Coturnix japonica: one gene and its partners. The protein of the gene in region 1 interacts with the protein of each later gene in a biochemical or structural test. Links are inferred from orthologs where the notes say so. Each region holds a gene or a part of one and is shown in the gene's direction. Other genes may lie near its edges.

What was found.
Region 2: the proteins of STAT1 (region 1) and CREBBP form a complex in vitro, tested with the Homo sapiens proteins (5 studies listed by BioGRID, with this or other methods). The link is inferred for Coturnix japonica from reciprocal best matches to the Homo sapiens genes STAT1 and CREBBP.
Region 3: of the proteins of STAT1 (region 1) and PRKCD, one has a biochemical effect on the other in vitro, tested with the Homo sapiens proteins (2 studies listed by BioGRID). The link is inferred for Coturnix japonica from reciprocal best matches to the Homo sapiens genes STAT1 and PRKCD.
Region 4: the proteins of STAT1 (region 1) and KPNA1 form a complex in vitro, tested with the Homo sapiens proteins (2 studies listed by BioGRID). The link is inferred for Coturnix japonica from reciprocal best matches to the Homo sapiens genes STAT1 and KPNA1.
Region 5: the proteins of STAT1 (region 1) and MCM5 form a complex in vitro, tested with the Homo sapiens proteins (2 studies listed by BioGRID). The link is inferred for Coturnix japonica from reciprocal best matches to the Homo sapiens genes STAT1 and MCM5.

Annotation. Positions count from the first base shown.
Region 1 is NC_029522.1:2,028,878-2,033,130, forward strand, and holds part of STAT1 (signal transducer and activator of transcription 1-alpha/beta), read left to right. Parts: intron 1-236; coding exon 237-335; intron 336-341; exon of another isoform or gene 342-1,560; intron 1,561-1,816; coding exon 1,817-1,912; intron 1,913-2,526; exon of another isoform or gene 2,527-2,611; intron 2,612-2,619; coding exon 2,620-2,698; intron 2,699-3,094; coding exon 3,095-3,186; intron 3,187-3,795; coding exon 3,796-3,947; intron 3,948-4,117; exon of another isoform or gene 4,118-4,198; coding exon 4,199-4,253. UniProt on the Homo sapiens protein: Signal transducer and transcription activator that mediates cellular responses to interferons (IFNs), cytokine KITLG/SCF and other cytokines and other growth factors.
Region 2 is NC_029529.1:11,029,098-11,033,350, reverse strand, and holds part of CREBBP (CREB-binding protein), read left to right. Parts: coding exon 1-164; intron 165-395; coding exon 396-582; intron 583-4,105; coding exon 4,106-4,224; intron 4,225-4,253. UniProt on the Homo sapiens protein: Acetylates histones, giving a specific tag for transcriptional activation. Mediates acetylation of histone H3 at 'Lys-18' and 'Lys-27' (H3K18ac and H3K27ac, respectively).
Region 3 is NC_029527.1:573,801-578,053, forward strand, and holds part of PRKCD (protein kinase C delta type), read left to right. Parts: intron 1-72; coding exon 73-133; intron 134-3,112; coding exon 3,113-3,269; intron 3,270-3,776; coding exon 3,777-3,808; intron 3,809-4,253.
Region 4 is NC_029516.1:69,217,756-69,222,008, reverse strand, and holds part of KPNA1 (importin subunit alpha-5), read left to right. Parts: intron 1-2,574; coding exon 2,575-2,708; intron 2,709-4,253. UniProt on the Homo sapiens protein: Functions in nuclear protein import as an adapter protein for nuclear receptor KPNB1. Binds specifically and directly to substrates containing either a simple or bipartite NLS motif.
Region 5 is NC_029516.1:47,598,474-47,601,938, reverse strand, and holds the end of MCM5 (DNA replication licensing factor MCM5), read left to right. Parts: intron 1-560; coding exon 561-673; intron 674-966; coding exon 967-1,095; intron 1,096-1,353; coding exon 1,354-1,496; intron 1,497-1,640; coding exon 1,641-1,768; intron 1,769-2,197; coding exon 2,198-2,299; 3' UTR 2,300-2,522; downstream 2,523-3,465. UniProt on the Homo sapiens protein: Acts as a component of the MCM2-7 complex (MCM complex) which is the replicative helicase essential for 'once per cell cycle' DNA replication initiation and elongation in eukaryotic cells.

The DNA of each region.
Region 1 (4,253 bases):
TCTCCAGCCCTATGTCATTGTTACATGACAAGTCCCATCAACTCTTTGTACCCTAACAAAACAAAGTAATACACCAAGCAGAGAAACTGCTTCCTAGAGCTGGCTACAGTCCATGTAGTCTCAAAGCAAGATACAACTCGGGCTTAACCCGACACATGTTATTCTTGTCAGTTGATTTAATGAAATACAAGAGATTACACGTATTAAGTTTAACAATAGCCCATGTCTAACACCAGGATAACTTCCAAGAAGACCCAATACACATGGCAATGATCATCCACAACTGCCTGAAAGAGGAGAGGAAAATACTGAACAGTGCACAGTTGTCTAATCAGGTAAGTTAGTTTTGAAATGTCCACTGCAGTCGTGTCTGCCCTTTCCTATTACTTGGGATACCAGCGGGTTTGAGTAGCGTGAGCTATTCAGATGGGAAAGGGCCAGAAAGTGATCTTGATTCTTCCTTCCTTTTCCATTTTACTCTTGATTTACTGTTTATTGAGCAGCTGAGCACTAGTGGGTCTCTGGACTGCCTTGGAAAGTGATACTACTCTTCCTTCCCAGCTACACTCAATTTTACGTTTATGTTTTAAACTGAACTGCTGAGCCATAGGCAGAGCGTATTCTTCTCCTCATCATTATTTTGGCAGTGCATCTGTTTGGATTTTCCCTTCCAAGAACTGTGTTGCAATAAAAAATTCCACAGTTAGAAAAGCCATGTAAACTACAGAGCCAGATCCAACCTGCTAATGAAATTAAATGATACCTGACTGAGCCTGTTATGTTCTGAGACAGAAATTCTTCACTTTGCAGCACATTTTTGACAGTGTTATAGAGAGAACTAAGAGCATTAGAGCACAGGCTTTCATCAGTTATCTTAATGCAGCTGCGTCCAAAATAGCTCCCTTAGATATGCAACTCTGGCAAAGCCATTTCCAGATACTTTCCTCATAGCTGCAGTGCAGCTGGCAGTTTCTGTATTGGCTTATGACACAAAGCACCCAAAACTTCCTTTTCAGCATCCCAGATGTTTCTATTAATAATAATTTTAAAAAAGGAAATAAATCTTCTTCCACATATTGTTGGTGCTACATAAAACACCATACCCTACCCTCTGATTTATTGTAAAAGTTCTTATTTCCCAAAGCAAGCAAACTTAAAAGCACCATAAGAACAAAATAGAGACTCCAGTGTTAGTCAATACTCAGACTGCCATCACAGTCCCATTTCAAGTTACGTTGGGAACCTTTGCCACTTTCTAAGTTGCCTGCATTGGCAAAATAATATGTTTCTAATAATGACACAGTACAACAAAAACCCTGTCTTTGAAATCACTGCAACTCTCCCTGAGAGAAGTCATGCTATGAGCTTCTGAAATGAAACCTTGCAGTACTGAGATCTGAAGGTTTCCTTTAACACGCTGTAGGAAATCAACTGCATAATGCATTACCCTATATGGCAGCTTATCTTGTTCTTGTGCTTCACGCTTTCCTCCCCAGAGCCCAAGTGGTTGAATCTAATATTTAAGGGAGATGCGATCCAGCCTTCAGTGCTGCTGTTTTCCTGGAATATATTTAGAAAACACGTGAAGATAAGCAAGTAAACCAAAAAGGAGTTGTTTAGAAGTTATTTTGTCTGCTTATTCCTATGACATTACATGCAACATCTCCGCATGCTTGCTTTTTCTTCACAAAGTCACTTCTAATAACTCAACTAGGCTGTTTGTCAATAAAAGCCAATAACTGACATTAACTAAATAGTATTTGCTGTTAGTTCAGTCTTGTTTGACTTCTGATTTTGTTCCACTTGCCTTCCTCAGATGGAAGTGGGTGGCGTACAGAACACCATGACTGGGATACTGGACAAACAGAAGGAGCTTGATGCAAAAGTTAAGGCTGTAAAAAACAGTGTTACAGTAAGTATAGTATGATTCCAGCTGTATTTGAAGTAGTGCTTATCAGAATCATAAATGTCAAAGTTTTCAGTGTATGATGTATTCCTTAAATGACAAGTATCATTTTTGGTTATCTACTCAATTATCAGTCAGTAATATTTGTCAAAAGCACTGCAGTATGGATTGGGATTTGGCTACTGTGGCAATATCATATTTCTCATGCTTAAATTGTAGCAGTGAAAACATTTTACCTATGTGGATTATTATGCAACCAATGAACAATTCCTTAAAAGCTCATAAATTGACATTTCATCATGAACTAGAAGATCGAGATTTGCTTTTTTTCTCCTGTCATCAAATCATTGCTTATTGCCATAATAAGTACTATCCCAAAAGTATTTTTTTTTTCAGTGCAATACTCAAGAGTTTAAGAGTTAAAGATGCCATATACTGTCCCCCATGGTAGCTTAGGTTCTCCTTATTCTCTCAACTGGTATGGCCAAGCACTGAGAGCTTTCTGTGTTTTATTATGGACAGATTTTTGTTTGCTAAAATGAGAGAAGCAATGTAACTAGATATTGGCTCACTTCAGAAACACTTCCTGCAAGGGATCTCCAAGGAAAGACATTACTCACTGTACGTGCTTGCTGGCAGGCAGATCCTGGTCAGACAGAGTCTTGCATAATGTGAAACTGAGTAATTGTTCTGTCTTCATTCATGCTTTATAGGATGTAGAACAAGACATCAAGACATTAGAGGATGTACAAGATGAATATGACTTTAAACATAAAACCTTCCAGAGCAGAGGTAATGTACTGAGAACGTATCTTACTGCACACAGTTCATAAGATAACAGAGTTTATTCTTATGTCAGGAAACTTAATTATATATGCAAACTTATTGGTCACATCCCTCCTCCATTCATTCTGCTTTATGCTGAAACCTGATTTCCCCAAGATAGATTGGAAAAGGGAGCATTAAGCCCCACGCTTGCTCTTTGTACTTCCTGGCAGGCAGCGTTTCTCCTTAAGGCACATGGGTGCTTCTAACTTAAGGTCAGTGGGCAGCTGAAGTTGTAGCTGGGGGGACTCTGCATGGGAGCTATCAGCCTTGGTTTTCCTCACCCTTCTTTCCTGTACTCACAAGATCGTATCCTGCTGCAATTTCCCAACCTCAGATTCACAATTTAGACTTGTTTTACAGATTCTGAGCCCAATGGTGCATCACAAGAGGAGTGCAGGAAAGAGCAGATGAATATCCAAAAGATGTTTTTCTTACTTGACATCAAGAGAAAGGTAACAACTTAGTTTTCTCTCAGAAGGGAGCAGCTCTTAGTTTCAAATACTTTCATTGGAATGACACGTCATTCCTATTTAAAAACAAAGAACTTTGCTCGCATATGAAGTTACATCTTGTTCTTTCCATCCTTATTGGAGACCTAGAATTGTGCTGAGCAATAATATTGAGCTGCATCAAACTCAACCAGGTACAGCTCAGAAAACAACAAGAGGAAAACATAGTATCAATAGTCACGCTTTTAAGGCAGAAAAAAAAGCTATCTAAGAGTTGGCATCTATATTTTAGTTAAGCAGATTTATTCATTGCAGTGCTGAAATTTCCAGCCAGCATTAGGAAGTCCCAAGTATACGCTTGAGAAGTATGTAGATAGGATATATTTAGTATCACTACTGAGGAGCTAAATGTTCTTTCTCCATTTAACCTAGCTAATGCTCCAGCTAAGAAGAGGTAGGTGGGTTGGAAGAGCTCCTCTATTGATAGAAAGAAGCTATTAATTTGAAGTCATTGGGAAGTGTCGCAAGGCGAAGCATTACTTAAATCAATAATTATGAATTATCAAGTATTTACTCGATACAGAAAAAATAAACAGGTTAATTTTCCTTTAGGAAGTGGTGGCCAAGATTATACAGCTGTTGAACAACACGGAGCACACACAGAGTGCTCTTATTAACGAGGAGCTGGTGGAGTGGAAACATAGGCAACAGACTGCATGCATTGGTGGCCCGCCCAACGCCTGTCTTGACCAGCTACAGAACTGGTAAGCCTCCAGTCAAGGACAGTGTTGGCCAGGCACTCAAAGTGTGACACATCACCAGACCTGTCAGATATGCCACATGTGCTGATTGTATGTTTTCATTCTGTCAAAGCTTAACTAAAGGGCATTGATTTTACTAACACATCTCCAATGCTACCCATATAAATACAGACCTTAGGAACAGTTACGCTGCTACTGTCTCAGCATCGTTACACTGAAAACGTGCTGGAAATAACAGGACTGTGTCATTGTAGGTTCACCATCATTGCTGAAAGCCTGCAGCAAGTCCGTCAGCAGCTCAAAAAGCTG
Region 2 (4,253 bases), on another chromosome or scaffold:
CTAGTATTGATAACAGGGTCCCCACCCCTGCCTCAGTTGCTAGTGCTGATACGAATTCCCAGCAACTAGGACCAGATGCACCAATGCTAGAAAGCAAATCAGAAGTTAAAACTGAAGAAACTGAGCCAGAGACTAGTGAGACACAAGTGGAAGCTAAGACTGAGGTAAATGAGATTCTATACAGCTTAACTGAAAGCAGTGATAGATATAAAAGCACTTAATGATATGTCTGAATTGATGAGCTAAGGGGTGAGAAGAGGGTAGTTACTGGCAAGTAACTGTCCTGAGGAAAGCCATGGATGGAGAGTGCTTTGACAATCTCATAAGCTAATATTTAAAGGACTGAAGCCTGGGTCAGAGGTGTAACAGTGCATCTTATTGCCTCCTTTCTTAAGGTGGAGGAGGATTTACAAGGATCTTCACAAACAAAAGAGGAAACAGAAGGAACTGAGCTGAAACAAGAGCCAATGGAAATAGAAGAAAAGAAGCCTGAAATAAAAGTAGATGCTAAGGAGGAAGAGGAAAGTGGCACAAATGGAACCACTTCACAATCCACATCACCATCTCAGCCCCGCAAAAAAAGTATGTGTCTGAAAACTGATTTCTTGCATACTTTGTTAAAGAGCTCTTCTGTTTTCTACGGTCTGTGTTGTGCTGGGAGGGGCTCGTTTGTTTTTGAAAGTAGAATTCCTTTAATGTTACTTGAATCAGAGGTGGGAGCAGCGTGTTGTGTTCTTGATGCCAGCAGTATCCTCGCAGTTTCCAGTTTCTGCCCAGAAGGACTCAGGTGGTAAGGAAGTGGCTGCTGCTCAGGTGATGTGCATGAATCCCTCCCCGTACATCTTGGCCAACGCTCTTTCACAGGAGCTCTTTTCTTTGAAAGAAAGCTACATAGGATTACATTAGAATAACATCACAGATGCATGGATGTGCCCAAGAAATCATAAAGTTTTAGTTTGTAGAGATTGAATCTTGATCTCTTGTATATACCTTGCATTGCATTTAATTATTAGACATAGTCTTCTTAGAATAAAGCAGTGGATGTGAATTTCAGTTTGTAACACAATGTGCCAACCAAACCAGAGTGCGCTGCAGAGCCTGTTTCAAACTAACAGTTACAAACAGGTTGAATTCCCAGTGTTAAGAATCATTGCTTCTCCTTAAGTGTTCTTGCAGGTCAGTAGCTGGGAGAAGATGGTTCTTACAGAGGCAGAGCTGCACTGTGTCATTCTGGTGATTCAGTCTGGGTTACTTGTGTTTCCAACACCTCCTTTAGTAACACTGTTCTTGTCATAGAAATGCTGTCACTAAGTAGCCATACAGTGTAATATATGTGTGGCTCAGGCAGGTATAACTACATACGCAATTTTAAACTGAGCCATTTCCTCACCAAGTAGTTTATCCAGCTTTAACGGAGCATTTGCATTTAAACACAAAATAAACCAAGAAGTATTCAAGAGCAAATACAGTGAAGTGTGCTTAAGGGTTTTATGGTATCTTAAAACTGCTTACGAGACTCATCTCATGTTTTTTCATTCATTACATTGGTTTCATTTTCCATTGGTATTTGAGACTCCTGATGGCATGGGAGTTGTATTGAACACCATAGATTGAAGGGAAGGCTTTTGTTTGCTTGCCTCTTCCCTTGCAGTCTTCTCAATAGAAGTAATATTCCCATCACCTCTTCTCGTTGTAGCTGCCTGCCTTATAGTGTGATGGCCTGCAGGATGAGTTTTATTGGTCTCTTCCTTTGTTATAGGTCGTAATAATGAAAGGTCTGGGTTGAGGGAAGGTTCCTCAGTGTATTCCTTATTTTCAAGACATCTTCATCTTCCTTTCAGGATTTTCTCCTTAGTAACCATAAGCAAAATTTCCTGTTTGAAGAAGTGAAACTTCTTTTAGGAGTTAAAAAAGGGGGTGCCTTACTGTTCTTTGTCAGGGAGCACATTGTGATGCAGGCAGAGATCCCTCTTTGTTCTTACCACCTACACAGCTAAGACGAAATAGGGATAGTTGGATGTGCTCCTTACAGAGATGTGCTGCAGGAGGAGAACCAGGAGCATATAAGTGAGGAAGAGTGACAGTGACTTCCCTATTTACCTGCAGACAGAGGGATGCTGTGATCGAATGCTCTGTTTTTAATCACCTTCCTTAGGAGTTAAAGATGAAGGCAACTTTTCTTCATATTTTTAAGTGAAGTCATAACTCTGAATAACTGGATTTTAAATACACATATGTTGTAAACCAATATGAAAGTAGATGATAAATGTTTTCAGGAATGATGCTTAGTCTGTGAGTTACTTAACAGAAGTTCTGCTGAAGCTCTGTTGTTCCGATTTAAATTGGGATCAGATCTGTTTAGAAAGGTTCTTTAGCTGTTGTTATGTGGGTCAGTGCAGGGAGACTTCTTAGAGCAGTGTCAAGGTGTCCAGAATGGGTCATTAAAAGGTACGTTCTGACATTCAAATAAATGAAGTCATTTGAATTATCAGGTTTATAAAGTACGTGGATAAAACAGTTGCAGAAATAATACATAGTATTTACGCTGTGTTTCCCACTGTTCTTGAATTCTGTAATACAACTTTATTTATACAGTTTTGAGAGTATATATAAGGATTCTTTGCATGGGAAAGTGTAGTGGAAGCAAATTACTGTGTTGTCAGCAGTGAGGTGGTGGATCAGCTGAAGTCATGGCTGTGTTGCTTGGTGCCATAAGAACAGAGTTAGTGGGGGCTCAATGCAGGCCCACAGCAGGGCCTTGCTGCAGCCTTGTGTCAGCTTGCGTAGCCCTTTGCCATGATTTAGCTGGCTGAGCTGTGTTAGTTTGCCACTTGTGCACGAGCAGCAATCCTCTCCCAGGTACAGGCAATGCATTCAAACTATATTCCAGCTTCCATTTGCTCTGCAGGGACTGTTTTCATCCTGACTTACAACTTGCAGGAGCTTCAGCATCCACAGATGCCTGAAAACATAGGGAGCGTAAAGCTTCAGAATGTCTTGAGTTGAGTCAGCTTAACTTCTAATGCCTTTTTCCCATGTTTTGAGAGGAAAAAAAATCCTCTCAAAAATAAACCACTAATAAAAAAGGAGGGGAAAAAGTTTAAAAAATAAAAATTACAAAAATATATATTTTTTTTGTTTTCTTACCAGAATTTTCCCTCCCCCTCAAGCCAGTCTGTATCTTAATAAAGCACAGTCTGAACAACAAAAGCAATGATCAGCCTCAGAGGGGTCACTGTAGCCCTATTGATTTAAGTGCTTTCAAGAGAACTCCTAATTGCTCCCTTTTATTGGTATTGTTCTCATTTCAGCCAGGTAGATAAATATTAAATGCCATCCTGCTCTTCTTAGTTGTCGTCTTTTTTTCCTGAATAATAGGCATTCTTCCCTATTTAAAGCCCCTGTTCCTAAGGAAATAAATGTAATTACACTGCTGAGATGTTCAAAGAGCTCTCCAAGTTATCATTATTTTTCAGAAAATGCATTGCCTTTCTTGTCCTTGTCATCCACTATTGAAAGAAACATGGCTGTTGCCATGCCACTGTTGCCAAGTGGTTGTAATGATGCATGTAAATCTTGGAAGTATTAACACTTTGAAAATCAATTAACAGTCCATTGGACCGGGACTCTTTGCATGGCACGGCCAGGAGATCCCTGTGCCAGCTCTCAGGACATCTGGTTACCTTCTGGAGAGCTGGCTCTGCGGGATTCCTTTGCTGGATGAATCTTGACACAGGAGCAGCCAACAGTGTCAAAAGAGAAGGAGAAAATATGCTGTTGGTCTCCTCTCTGGATGGTGGAGCTTCACTGTGTTGAAGCATTGGGTGGTTAATTTGCTTCTGGATAAGTCTTGCATCCTCTGGAAGATGTGTCATTAAATTGTTCTCATCCCCCTGTACTTAGAATCTAATCTAGTGTGATTCAGTTAAATGCAAAAGCTGCTCAGTCATCTCTTGGTGATACGTGTTGCTTTTAATCAGCAACGTAGATGAGAAAATCACGTGAAAGATATTTTTGTTACAGTAATTCTGTATTTTTCTAGGGGAGTTAAGCAGGTAGGATACCCAGCAGGAATTCTTCTAACCTTTCCATCTTCCATTAACAGTTTTCAAACCCGAGGAGCTGCGCCAGGCTCTCATGCCAACACTGGAGGCCCTGTACCGGCAGGACCCGGAGTCTCTGCCTTTCAGGCAGCCCGTGGATCCCCAGCTCTTAGGGATTCCGGTGAGTCGCCATTGAAACACACCAAGTGC
Region 3 (4,253 bases), on another chromosome or scaffold:
CTGGAGAGCGGTGTGAGCTCATGGGACGTTCATCCACCACATACTTCACTTTTGGTATCTTTCTTTCTACAGCTTGACCTGCAACCTCAGGGGAAGGTGCTGATGGCTGTGCAGTACTACTTAGAAGATGCAGGTAATGTCAGCTGGTTGGATTTTATTTCCAGTTCTGTAAAACATGGGATGTAGCTTACAAAAAAAAAACCAACCCCTGGGATACTGAGTAGTTTTCTGATCTTATTAATTCATCTTGTGGGGATTTTTATTTGTTTTATAAGGGTGTTCTTCGCTTTGGTGGAGTCACGGGTGCCACATTTGTGAGCTTGTAAATGCCTTCATACTCTGTAGTACTGCTGCATTTAGGCACCCTGGGGCCTTTAATCTGACTGTCCTCATGTTTTGACTGAATAGGAAAGTACTGAGTTCCTGTTTTAAGCATGAAGAAGTTAAAAATGTCTTGCTCTAATTTGTGTGGTAAACATGTTCTTTGTGGATTGGGGAAGTAGGTCACATTTTCCTGGGATTTCAGCTGTAATGCTCGTTAGTCATGGAAATCAATTGCAGCAATGAGTGAATGGTTAAATGCCAAATGCAAATCGTATTAATGTTCTGCTGTATCAGTTGAAGAAGTTAACAGGCGGTATGGGTTAGAAATCTGCACACAGTGGGGGAGAGGAGAGGAGAGGAGAGGAGAGGAGAGGAGAGGAGAGAGCTGGTTATGAGAGGGGGAAGCTTTAGGTACGCCAACAGAAACAAATATTCTAGCAGGGGTTTGTGTAACTTTCCTGAAGGAAATGATGTAAACCTCACATCTTGCTTAACTGTCTAGTACTAGAAGTCACAAAACCTTTGTTTATTGGGAATCACTGATCTGTCATTTTAGCCAATCCGTCTTAGTTGGTGTAATGCTGTGTTAATAAATAATCAGTGGAAAGGGAGTAAGCAGGAAGTTTGAAAGCATTGCTGTGGGTTTGATGGGGATTTTGGTTTGGGGTTGGGTGTTTTTGTTTGTTTTTGTGTATGGCTGTTTTGTTTTGTTTTTTTTCCAAGTAGATACAGGTTTCTTAGTTCTACTCTCATGGAACAAGTTGATTCTGAAGGTCTTTCGTACCATATGTGCAATCTGCTTGGCAGCTTCTGGAAGGGCTGCTAAAGATAGATGGTGATATGCAGGAGGTGGCACTGCAGCATCTCAGAGTTGGTGTTTTAGCTCTGCAGTGGCAAAAAGAACACAACCCAGAAGCTGCCTGCTGTCTTGTTACTTTGTTCTCCTTTGTGAAGTGTTTATTCTTTAAAGAAATATTTAAAACAATAGATGTGTTGGTGGATCTGAAGAACCATATGCAGGTTGGAATCTGTTTATGCACCAGCGATATTCTGTTTGACATTCAAACTGTTGTGGACCATCATGTTAGGAAACTTTTGTCTTGGACTTCATCATTTCTTTCCCATCCAAGGCAGTTTCGTGGGGTACCGATGATGAGGCTCCATCTGTTCAGCAAGGCGTACGGAAATCTGTTTGTCCAGAGAGCTTAAATGTCTCTCAGCCAAAGAAAAAACCTGCTTGTGCAGGTTTGGAAAATGCAAAAGATGGTTTGAAAGGAAAGAGAAATACCTGGCGATGTTAATATTCAGCCTGTAAGTTAATCACAACGATCGCAAACCCCAGAGTAGTTCAGCATAGCAAGTTTGTGTCACAGAAGCACGGACTTCCTGGAAGCGTGTACTTCTGTGGATGTTTTTGTACAGAGGTGTAAAGCAGACCCCTCTGAGACCTGAATAGAGACAGTTTGTACCAGGAAGGTCTCCTCTGCAAGAAGCGAGATTTCTTTTTGTAATGATTACCCCGTGAGATTAATGTTTTTCTTGGCCTGAAGGGCACACTTAACTTTCAAACAGGGCCAAGTGCAAGGCAGCAGAACTGCACAAAGACCTTCTCCCTTCAGATTACAAACAAAATCATGGAACGAACAGAAAAATGAACTCTGAGGATGATAAATGTTTTTCTATTCCTTCTCTTCTAAACCCAAGTAGGGTTTTTCTGAAGGCTGTTTTCTTTTGTAACTTAGGAGGTTGAACTGAGACAACCTGACATCTCGCCTTGAGGTTCATTACGCTTCAGCAGAGTCCCAGCGGTGCTGTGTAGGAGCTCAGCAGATGCTCCTCAGGCTGTGGTTTGCCCGCTGTGTTGCTGGCTGCAGTCAGGCCTGGTGCTGCAGTTGGGTGCAGTGCACACTGCTATGGCTGCTGCACCTCTGCAGGAGTGTGACATTTGCTCTCAGTTGTGCTTAAGGAGCACATGGCACAGGGGAGCATGGGGCTTTTTGTCACATCAACTGCAAGTTTTGAGGAGGATCCTTGGAATAGAAAAGCAGTGTGCCACCGATAAATATTAACCATTGCTCTCAACAGAGGAAGTAGATGATAGTTAATGGTGTGTGCTGGGTTCAGAATGATTATGATGGGATCAGGCTGCTGCTGCAGCAGAGGTCACCTGGATTCTAGTTGCTGATTCAGCTCCGTGGCTCTGGTTTTACCAGCACAGCACAAGCGTGTCACCTCGGGGAGTGCTGGCTTGGAGAGTGTCTTCCTCTTTCACTACCTCCATGCTGCTGTTGGAAAATATCCTTCCTTGCAGTGCTGTGTTGGCAATGGGAAAAGTACTTTATGGCTTTTGTATTGTTGCATGGTTGTGGAACATCCCACCTGGCACAAGGCAGCCTCATTAGCCTAAACTTTGCAGCACTTCCTCCCTGTAAGCCATGGCTGTGTTATTCCACAATGAGACCCTCAATCTGCGGACCAGAACCGATGTGGTTAGCAATGCACTTGTGCCTGTGGTTGGTTGAAGCTTCTGTCTTTCCCTGCTGGGTGACAACTGTCTCTGATCGGCTCCTTTCTGTCCAGAAGAGATGTGTCCTACTAATTAGGAACCAATTTATTTATGTGCTTTGCCCTTGTTGGACTGAATGCCTGCAAGGATGACGGGGGTGTAAATTTGAAATACAAGCTGGAAACAGAAGAGGAAACAATATTTTGGAGAAACAAATATTAGACTTGGGTAATGACTTAGAGTTAAAAGTATGTCTTCTTGTCTGCCTCCTTCTCCCCTTAGATTGCAGACAGTCCATGAGGGAAGAAGAGGGAACAGTAACTATCAACAGGAGAGGAGCAATCAAGCAAGCAAAAATCCACTACATCAAAAATCATGAATTTATTGCTACCTTTTTTGGACAGCCCACGTTTTGTTCTGTCTGCAAAGACTTTGTGTGGTAAGGAGAAAGTGCTAAACTTCTTTCACCCCCAAGAGGGTAAATAACTATTAAATTGCCCTCATGTATATTGAAATAAAGCATAGACATAAATTCATCAGTAATGCAAGCTGGAAAGCATATACTGTCTCAGTCTTTGAGATGCGAATTAGCCAATAGCAGAATAAAGACCCATCAGGATCGAGAAGCTGGATCAGATTGGTGGGAAAGTCATTCTATTAGTAAACCAAATCAGGAGGAATTTCCGTGTGATGGAAGCTTTGGTTTTTTCCTGCATTCTCCTGCTAATGTGACGGTCTTTCAGAACTCACTGCCTTTCTTTCTAAGCCTTGCCTTCCTAAGGCAGAGGGTTCTGAATACCAGAACTTCAATTGGTTTGTTAATGGGGACAAATATTCCAATGAATGAGGAAATTGGATGACATGGTGAAAAGAGGAAAAAACCCCAAAGTTGTATTCTAGCAAGCACGTGCTTATATGATTTCCTTCTCTATCATTTGTTTTTCAGGGGACTGAACAAACAAGGATACAAATGTAGGCGTAAGTTGAGTTTTGTCTTTTTATTGTATCACCTCCATTATTTTATAGTCCAATTGATTTTATAGATCCAGTAGTTACTATGGAAAAAAGAAGTCCTGTCAATTTGCCCACACATCTGCTAATGTTAAACACAAACCTTGTGTGGTGATCTCAGAGCTGTGGAGTTGTGATTCCTACATGAAATTTTAGTACCAGGTTTTAACTCTTCTGATGTGTGTGTCGTGCACTGGAGGAGCTGCACTTGTACATGACAGCTGCTTTTGTGGAACCTTTTCTAAAATGAATTACAGTGACTGATGGATTTTAAAGCAGAATTCAGAAGTACTTCAGAACTTAGTGCAGATCTCTGTGCATTATTCAAAGCAGCAGAGCAGGTACCAAAGAGGATCAGAAGCCTGATACTGTCCTCGTGTTCTCAAATTCTGGTGGCATTGTCTAATGGAGA
Region 4 (4,253 bases), on another chromosome or scaffold:
ATACATGACTATATGGTTCTCAGATAACCTATTTCCATCACCTCATTCCAAAGAAAAAAAGTGTCTAAACGTATTTGCTATCAGTACATTTCATAATCTTAGTTTCAGTTATCTTTTTGGGTTATATATACCTTTCTGCTGGTCTTGATTAGCAAGGCCTTTATTTTTATATTGGGATACTTGTGACATGTTAGAATGGCCAAGTGTTTGTCACGTAGCATTTCTCCTAGCAAAGTTCTTAAGGCTAGTGACAGCATATCTGATGTAGGAAGACAGAGGGCTCATTTGTGTCCCTACTTCAGATGATTGATATCTGATGTAAGAAGGCAGGAAGTTCATTTTTGTTCCTATGTAGATGATTGCAAGGGATGAGGTAGGTCATTGCAGTAAGTGACTCTGCATTTCCCAGTACAAACTAAAGTTCTCTGACTTGATCAGCAAGCAGAAATGCAGTACCTTTCTCCTGAAAACCAATTCTTCAGTCACCTCTGCTTTTGGTAGGGCCTTTGTACTGATCAGCAAAAAGAAATAAAAATGGGTAACGCTTCCTTAGTGAATGAAGACACTCAAAAATAGGTCTTTTTTGTTTTGTTAAAAATAGGTTTGTAAGTAAAAAGTAAAGTAAAAGGTGTCATATAGTGATTGAGTGGTACAGCACAAAAGATCAAAGAGTTCATCATGAAAACTCATCGGGTCACCAATGATTTGAAGCTGTAGACAGGAGTGTCCAGAAACGTGGAAAATACGCTTCTATTGCTAGGACAGAAAAGATCTGTAGAACATTTCCATGACAACCACCACCGACTTTCATCGCAGACAGCATTAATTTTGAGGAGAAGATCCAGGATTTACTGTTTGCTATGAAGTAATTTACAGTGAGTGAATGTGAAGTGGTTGTTGAAAGATATTCAGTTAAGCTGCAGAAAAACCGCTGAAGACGAATGAGAAAGGTTTGAATTTGTTTTGACTCGTTGATTTTTGTCTATAGAGTAAAACCTGAAAAGCTGAAGATTTATAGAAAACTATTCTTGGGTGTTTGTAGCGACTGACATACGATTCTTTTATTTTCTGACTTAAAAAGAAATAGTGAGCAGGTGTAAGGATGCTGTCAGGAGCTGGGGGTTAGATGGTGTGGTCATAGAAACAATAAAGGAATGACACCGTTTTACCTTTAGGGCATAGGATCATAGAATCACCAAGGTTGGAAAAGACCTACGAGATCATCCAGTCCAACCGTTCACCTATTACCAATAGCTCCCACTAAACCATGGCCCTCAACACAACATGCAGTCTTTCCTTGAACACCCCCAGGTTCGGTGACTCCACCACCTCCCTTGACAGTCCATTCCCGTGGACTGAATACATCCAGAGGTAATTGCAGAAGCTGCATTTGGGTAGTGTCTTTGGATTGGTTAAGTTAGGCAAGCAGATATGTGGCAATGTGTGGGGGTTTTATTTGCCACTGGTGAGAGACTACCCTGAATTCAGTGATTGAATTGAGCGATTTCTCAACACTGAAAGAAACTAAATGTTTCTGATCTTACTAGAAGAAACTTTGTATTCCTCGTTACTTGGTGGAAATTTGTAGGAAAGCTTTACTCAACATAAAATGCAATGCGCTATTTAGAAATGATTTTATGTGCACTTAATAGTCAGCAAAGGGAGCTGGCATGAAGGTAAGAAATAAGCATAGCCAAAAGCTTTAGCTAAAGCTTGGAAGGGTTGTAGTAAATAGAAGGTAACACTGAAGTTCTAGGCACTGATGACAAAAATGACAAGGAAAAAGAATATGCTAGGGAAACTTGACAGTGAAGATGGATTCTCACTGGTACTTAAAAACACTGGAGCATCATAAAGAGGGACTACAAAATAGAAATAAGATGGAATCCAGTAGTGAGAATTGAAGATGATAAATGTCAAGGATTTCTACAAAGCGAGAACTTCTAAGGACTGAAAGTGAAGGTGTGAAATGATTGCAGGAGCTGTCCAAGTCCTGACAAAGGCAAATTTAATTTGGTGAGTTTGAGAAGATGTTTCAGATAGAAATGCAGAATGATGTATAATGTCATGGGAGGTGTGAGGTTTTATCTGAGTTATTGTTTGTGTGCCTATGCTTGTTTGTGTTGTAGGGCAGGTTGACTGATGTGGCTGCAAAACCTTTTTCCAGTTAGATGTGTCCTTCTAGCTCATCATTTTCCATGTGGTGTTTGAATTTATTTACTTGATTCTAAGGTATATCAGCAATTTGATGTGAAAACAAAAGATTTTCTGTACTCCATTGTGTTCCATACATGTGTAACTCCATTTTTTGGTGGCCCTGCCAGGCAGGGGGGTTGGAACTTCATGGTCCTTGAGGTCCCTTCCAACCCAGGTCATTCTACGATTCTATGAAATGCTGCGACTGTTCTCAACATTTCAGGGGCTTAATGGGGAGACGTAAGAGAAGTAGCAGCAAAGCGGAGGACTGTGGGTGGGGACCTGACCTGCGGCTCATTTGGTTTATGGCTACACTTACTTATGCGTTGCTGAAGTGTAATTGTTCTGATTGATTCTCTTCTTAACTGCAACTTAAAGGAACGATGACGACCTCAGGAAAAGAAAACTTCCGACTGAAGAGCTACAAGAACAAATCTCTAAATCCTGATGAAATGCGTCGAAGGCGAGAGGAAGAGGGTCTTCAGCTGCGTAAGCAAAAGAGAGAGGAGCAGGTATTGTCCTACAGCTGTCATAAATGTAACAGTTAGCTTGCATTGTCTTTGGTTCTTTGCTTCTCTGAAGCCTATTCTTGGCTTTTGTCTTGCTAAATTCCCATATATAATCAGTCTGACATTATTAAGTTGCAGACTTTACTGCCTTTTCTTTGGGTAGTACAAGACTTAGTGAGTGCTCATCATTCATTCAAGTGTGAGATTGACAGCTTGTCAGTAAAGGTGGTTGCAACAGAGCTGTCTCTCCTTGCACTGAAGGTTACTAAGGAATTCTTTGTTTGCTTTTTGCTAGCTGAGTTGTGGTTGCTCTTGTCTTTAAAGAATGATGAAGTGGGGTGAAGAAAGCATTACAGTACAGGAGAAGCGTGTCCAACCAAATCCTTTTGAGTTGCAGTAATGATTTTTCTGGGGGAAGAGTAGATTGATCTAATTCTTCTCAGTGTTCTGTCTTTAAATTTCAGTTAACATATGAATCTACAAAAGTTTATGCCCTAGCAGAGCAGGTGAGGGTGGATTATTGTATACTGAGTACAGAATATTCAAGGAGAATGAAAGGGGAGCAAAGCTCCCCTAGCTGTTCATTTCTGGCTAGTACTTACTACTATGCTCTCATTGCAAAGTGGTAGATTCTCTACAGGTGTAACAAGGAAACAGCAGCGGAGATGAGACATGGTGAAAGCAATCTTCTGATAAGGATGCGTAGCATTGAGCAGTCCTTTTAGTTATGTTCATTAGAAGCTTTAAGAGACTGGCTTCAATAAAGTTAGAATAAAGCTTAGTTTCATCCACGTCAAGTTAAATCAAAGATAGTAACATGCATTAGCTTGGTATGGTAGGTTAAGTCTTTAATCTGTTCTATTTAACAGCCTTTTCACAGTGTCAACACTAGATACTTTCAAGGAAAGTTTGTAATCAATGAAGAATTCTGAGAGGAATTGAAATAGCTTTTTATTTTCTTCAGAAGCAGCAGGCAGTATTTCCAGATGGCAGATAGTACAAAACATCATCTGTCTTATCTGTAAAGCTGATACTAATTTAGGAAAATGATGAGTCATTTTAGAAACCTGTCTTATCGGTGCCTCTGACCTCCCTTGCACCTGATTACCACGGGTTGGCTAAATAAAGGGTAGTAGTATTTCCTTAAGGCAAACTGTTATTCCTGCCTACAGTGTAATGGAAGTAGAGCTGCAAGCAGTCTTTTCTTTTGATCCTTTACTGTTACAACAATTTCAGACCTTATGTGCAGGTACTTTTATGTATTTGGCACACTGGTCATGAGGATGTTATTGAGATGCTTGACTAGCATTGAGAATGCCAGAGTTAGCATTGCATCTCCTGGTTAGAGCTGTTTGACATGTGTGAAGAAGCCTATTTTACTCTTTGACTTCCCGATTTCTATTTGTATTCATTTTTAAAATAAAATATATTCTTATTCCTCGTTTTATTGTCTTAGTGTTGCATTTTCAGCCTCTACAAAGAAGACTCATTTAACCTTTTTCTAAAGTTCACTTGTTTTTTTTTTTTAAAAAAAGCCAAATCACCCTA
Region 5 (3,465 bases), on another chromosome or scaffold:
GCCTTAAATTCTATGAAGGGGGACTGTAAGAAGGAAAGGGACAGACTTTAGAAGGATCTGTTGTGATTGGACAAGTGGAAATGGTTTCAAACTAAAAGAGGGGTGACTTATGTTGGGTACAAGGAGGAAGGTTTTTTTTACAGTCAGGGTGGTGAGGCACTGGAACAGACTGCCTAGAAAGGTGGTGGATACCCTATCCCTGGAGACACTTAAGATCTGGCTGGTGGGGCTCTTGAGCACCGTGCTCTAGCTGTAGGTGTCCCTGTTCATTGCAGGGGAGCTGGACTAGGTATAGCCTGTAAGGGTTCCTTCCAGCTCAAGCAATTTTATGATTCTTAGGCTTCTGCCATGACACATTGAAGCAAGGCAAGCTTCTTGTGGTCCCATAGTTCTGCTTGTCACAACAGAGCCAGGCATAAGCACTGGGAGTAGAGTTGGGGGATGCCTTCTTCAGTATCAACGGAACTGCATCACTGAACTGCCAAGCTGCTGCCCTGTTTTGGGGGAGGGTTGGATGACAGGGAGGTTTCATGCGGTCTGACTGCTTCCTGCTCTCCTAGACGCTGGCCAAGCATGTGATGTCCCTGCATGTGAGTGCCCTGACGCAGACACAGGCTGTGGAAGGTGAAATTGAGTTGAACAAGCTGAAGAAGCTCATCTCTTTCTGCCGGACGTGAGTGAGAGGGGTGATTTTAGGCTGTGCCCACATCACAAGGTGCTGCTGGGGTTGCACTGTGCAGTGAGGCAGATGTGTGGGCTGGGTCTGGTCCATCTGCACCTGGCACTGGGAGTATGGAGTGGGTTGTGAGGCAGCTCAAGCACCTTTGAGTGAAAGGAACGAATTCTTGGGCTGATAGGGGTTAGGTTTGGAAGGGCTCTCCCCTGGAAGGGATGCAAGTGAGAACAGCTTGGAGCACACAGGGGACATCCTGCCCAGGGTGCCACCTCTCCTGTCCCCTCACACAGGAAGTGTGGCCCTCGGCTGTCTGTAGCAGCAGCAGAGAAGCTGAAGAACCGCTACATCCTGATGCGGAGCGGCAGTCGGCAGCATGAGCAGGAGAGTGACCGCCGCTCCAGCATCCCAATCACTGTCAGGTGAGAGCCATGGGGCCTGGTCCTATGTGGGGAGGGAGAGTGTTGCTGTCCTCCCGTACCCACCAAAACCCTCAGGGTTGGGATTATGTCATTGTGTTGCCTGGGATAGCCTGGAGGATTGGGGTGCTGTTGTTTGGGAGAGCCCACTGTGAGTGGGGCGACACTGGCGATGCTGTGAGTGGGAGTGTTGGGGGAAGGAGAAAACCCCTTGGGGCTACAGTAGGAAGTGGGGAATTGGAGCATCTTCATTACCCACAGACAACTGGAGGCCATTGTACGCATTGCCGAGTCCCTCAGCAAGATGAAGCTGCAACCCTTTGCCACTGAGGCTGATGTTGAGGAGGCCTTGAGGCTCTTCCAGGTGTCCACGCTTGATGCAGCCATGTCGGGCAGCTTGTCAGGTGAGGATGGATGATGCTGCATTGGCTTACAGCTTCCCTCAAGATCTCTGAGATGTGTGTGTGTGTGTGTGGTGGGAGACGTGGGAAATGGGCTTTTTGGCTTTCAGAGTGACATCTGGTTGCAACCTCTCTCCCCCCCCCCAGGGGCAGAAGGCTTCACGACGCAGGAGGACCAAGAGATGCTGTCCCGTATTGAGAAGCAACTCAAGCGCCGCTTTGCCATTGGCTCACAGGTGTCAGAGCACAGCATCGTGCAGGACTTCATACGGCAGGTAGGCAAGGGCTGTGCCCTGGAACCAGGCAACTCCCACTGCTGCTGTGGGAATTCATTCCCTGGGAGGCAGCTGCAGAGCCCCTTGGTCATATTTGCTTTTGAAGCTGTTCATAGGGAGCAGCATATGTTGTGTTTGTGGAGTTGGAGGAGAGTGAGGTTTTTCTTCTCTGTCAGAGTGCTGGGGTCCAGGTTTGGGGCTGTTCATGTATCTTGTAATACCTGGTAATAGACTGAAGTCCAGCATTGAATCCAGAACGTTTTGACTCAGGAAACTGGCTGCACTCAGTCCTGAAATGTTGAAATAGGAAGGCAGCAGCTCCTGCTGTCCTGCAGAGAGTCACAGCCTTTAGCAGTGGCTGCAGTTCTTGCTGGGCTGTGTTGAGCTTTTCCTCGCCAGCTCATCTCACCCTGCTATCTCCCTCTCCAGAAATACCCTGAACACGCCATCTACAAGGTGCTGCAGCTGATGATGCGCCGTGGGGAGATCCAGCACCGCATGCAACGCAAAGTTCTCTACCGCATCAAGTAACCTCATGTCCCCTCCCTGGGAGAGGACAGCTGCTCATCTATCTGCCTGATGAGAGCCCAATGGGGCCACATCTGAAAGCTTTTCCTTGGGGAGCCAAACCAACCAGGGCCTCTGAAGCCAAGGTCTGAGGCAGCCAGGCTTCCCCTTGGGTGTTCTGTTGCAGTTTTTTTCTTGAAACTCCAAAAGCTTTTAGTCAGTTTCAAAATAAAAGCTGGTATTGGTACCTCAGGGTCCTTGACTGTCTGGAGGGGAGAGAGGGGTTGTATCTCCATCTCTCTTTTGGAAGCAGTGTGGGATTGGGATTGGATGCTTTATAACCTTCCTGCTTAGGAGCTGGAGTTGATTCACCCTTCTTTTGCATCTCAAAGGACTCTAGGAGGCAAAAACACATCACCCTGCAATGGAAAAGGCTGTGCAAAAACTTCAGTGAAGCATGGCAGAGCCCTGGGCCCCTGCTGGCATTAGCTGAGAAAAGCATTGGTGTACAAGAGAGGAACAGCTGCCACCTCATGTGTGTGTTAGCAGGAGGGACATCCTGCTTAGCAAAAGCTTCACCTGCGCTCTGTGTGTTTTCTGGTAGGGGCGATGGGATGCAGTTGTGCTGTGTGTGGCAGCTGTCTTGCATTGCTGGATTTCCTTTGCAACCTTGCACTGTCCAACTGTTTTTTTTTTTTTATTATTTTGTGCTTTCCCAGCTGTCACAGCTCTGGGCATGCAAAAGTGCTGTGCATGCGGTAGAAGCTGCTGCATGTCTCAGAGCGACCTTCAGGTTGCAAAAAAAACCACACCTCAGAGCAGACTGCACAAGCTTTGTTAGTGGAATAGATGCTCAGGGCCAGCAGAGGGAACTCAAGCCTTGAGGATGCTGGGCTGTGCCCTACTGGGGCTCTACAGCATCTTTGTGTGCTTCTGTGTGGGTGCACTTGGGACAGGGCCAGAGCTGGCTGAAGAGTCAGGTGTACCTTCCCAGGCAATGGTGGCCTTCATGAGGCTGGCTCTGCATTGGACAAACAGTCTTCTGCCCTCCAGCCTCTGTTTTATTGCTTTTTCTGGATAAGTCTCGCCTTTGCTGGGGTTGAAAAGGGAGAGGAGGTTCTGCATGATGACAGGTGTGTGGAAAACTCATCCCAGCTGTCCCCGTGCCTCACTGCAGGAGGCACACCGAA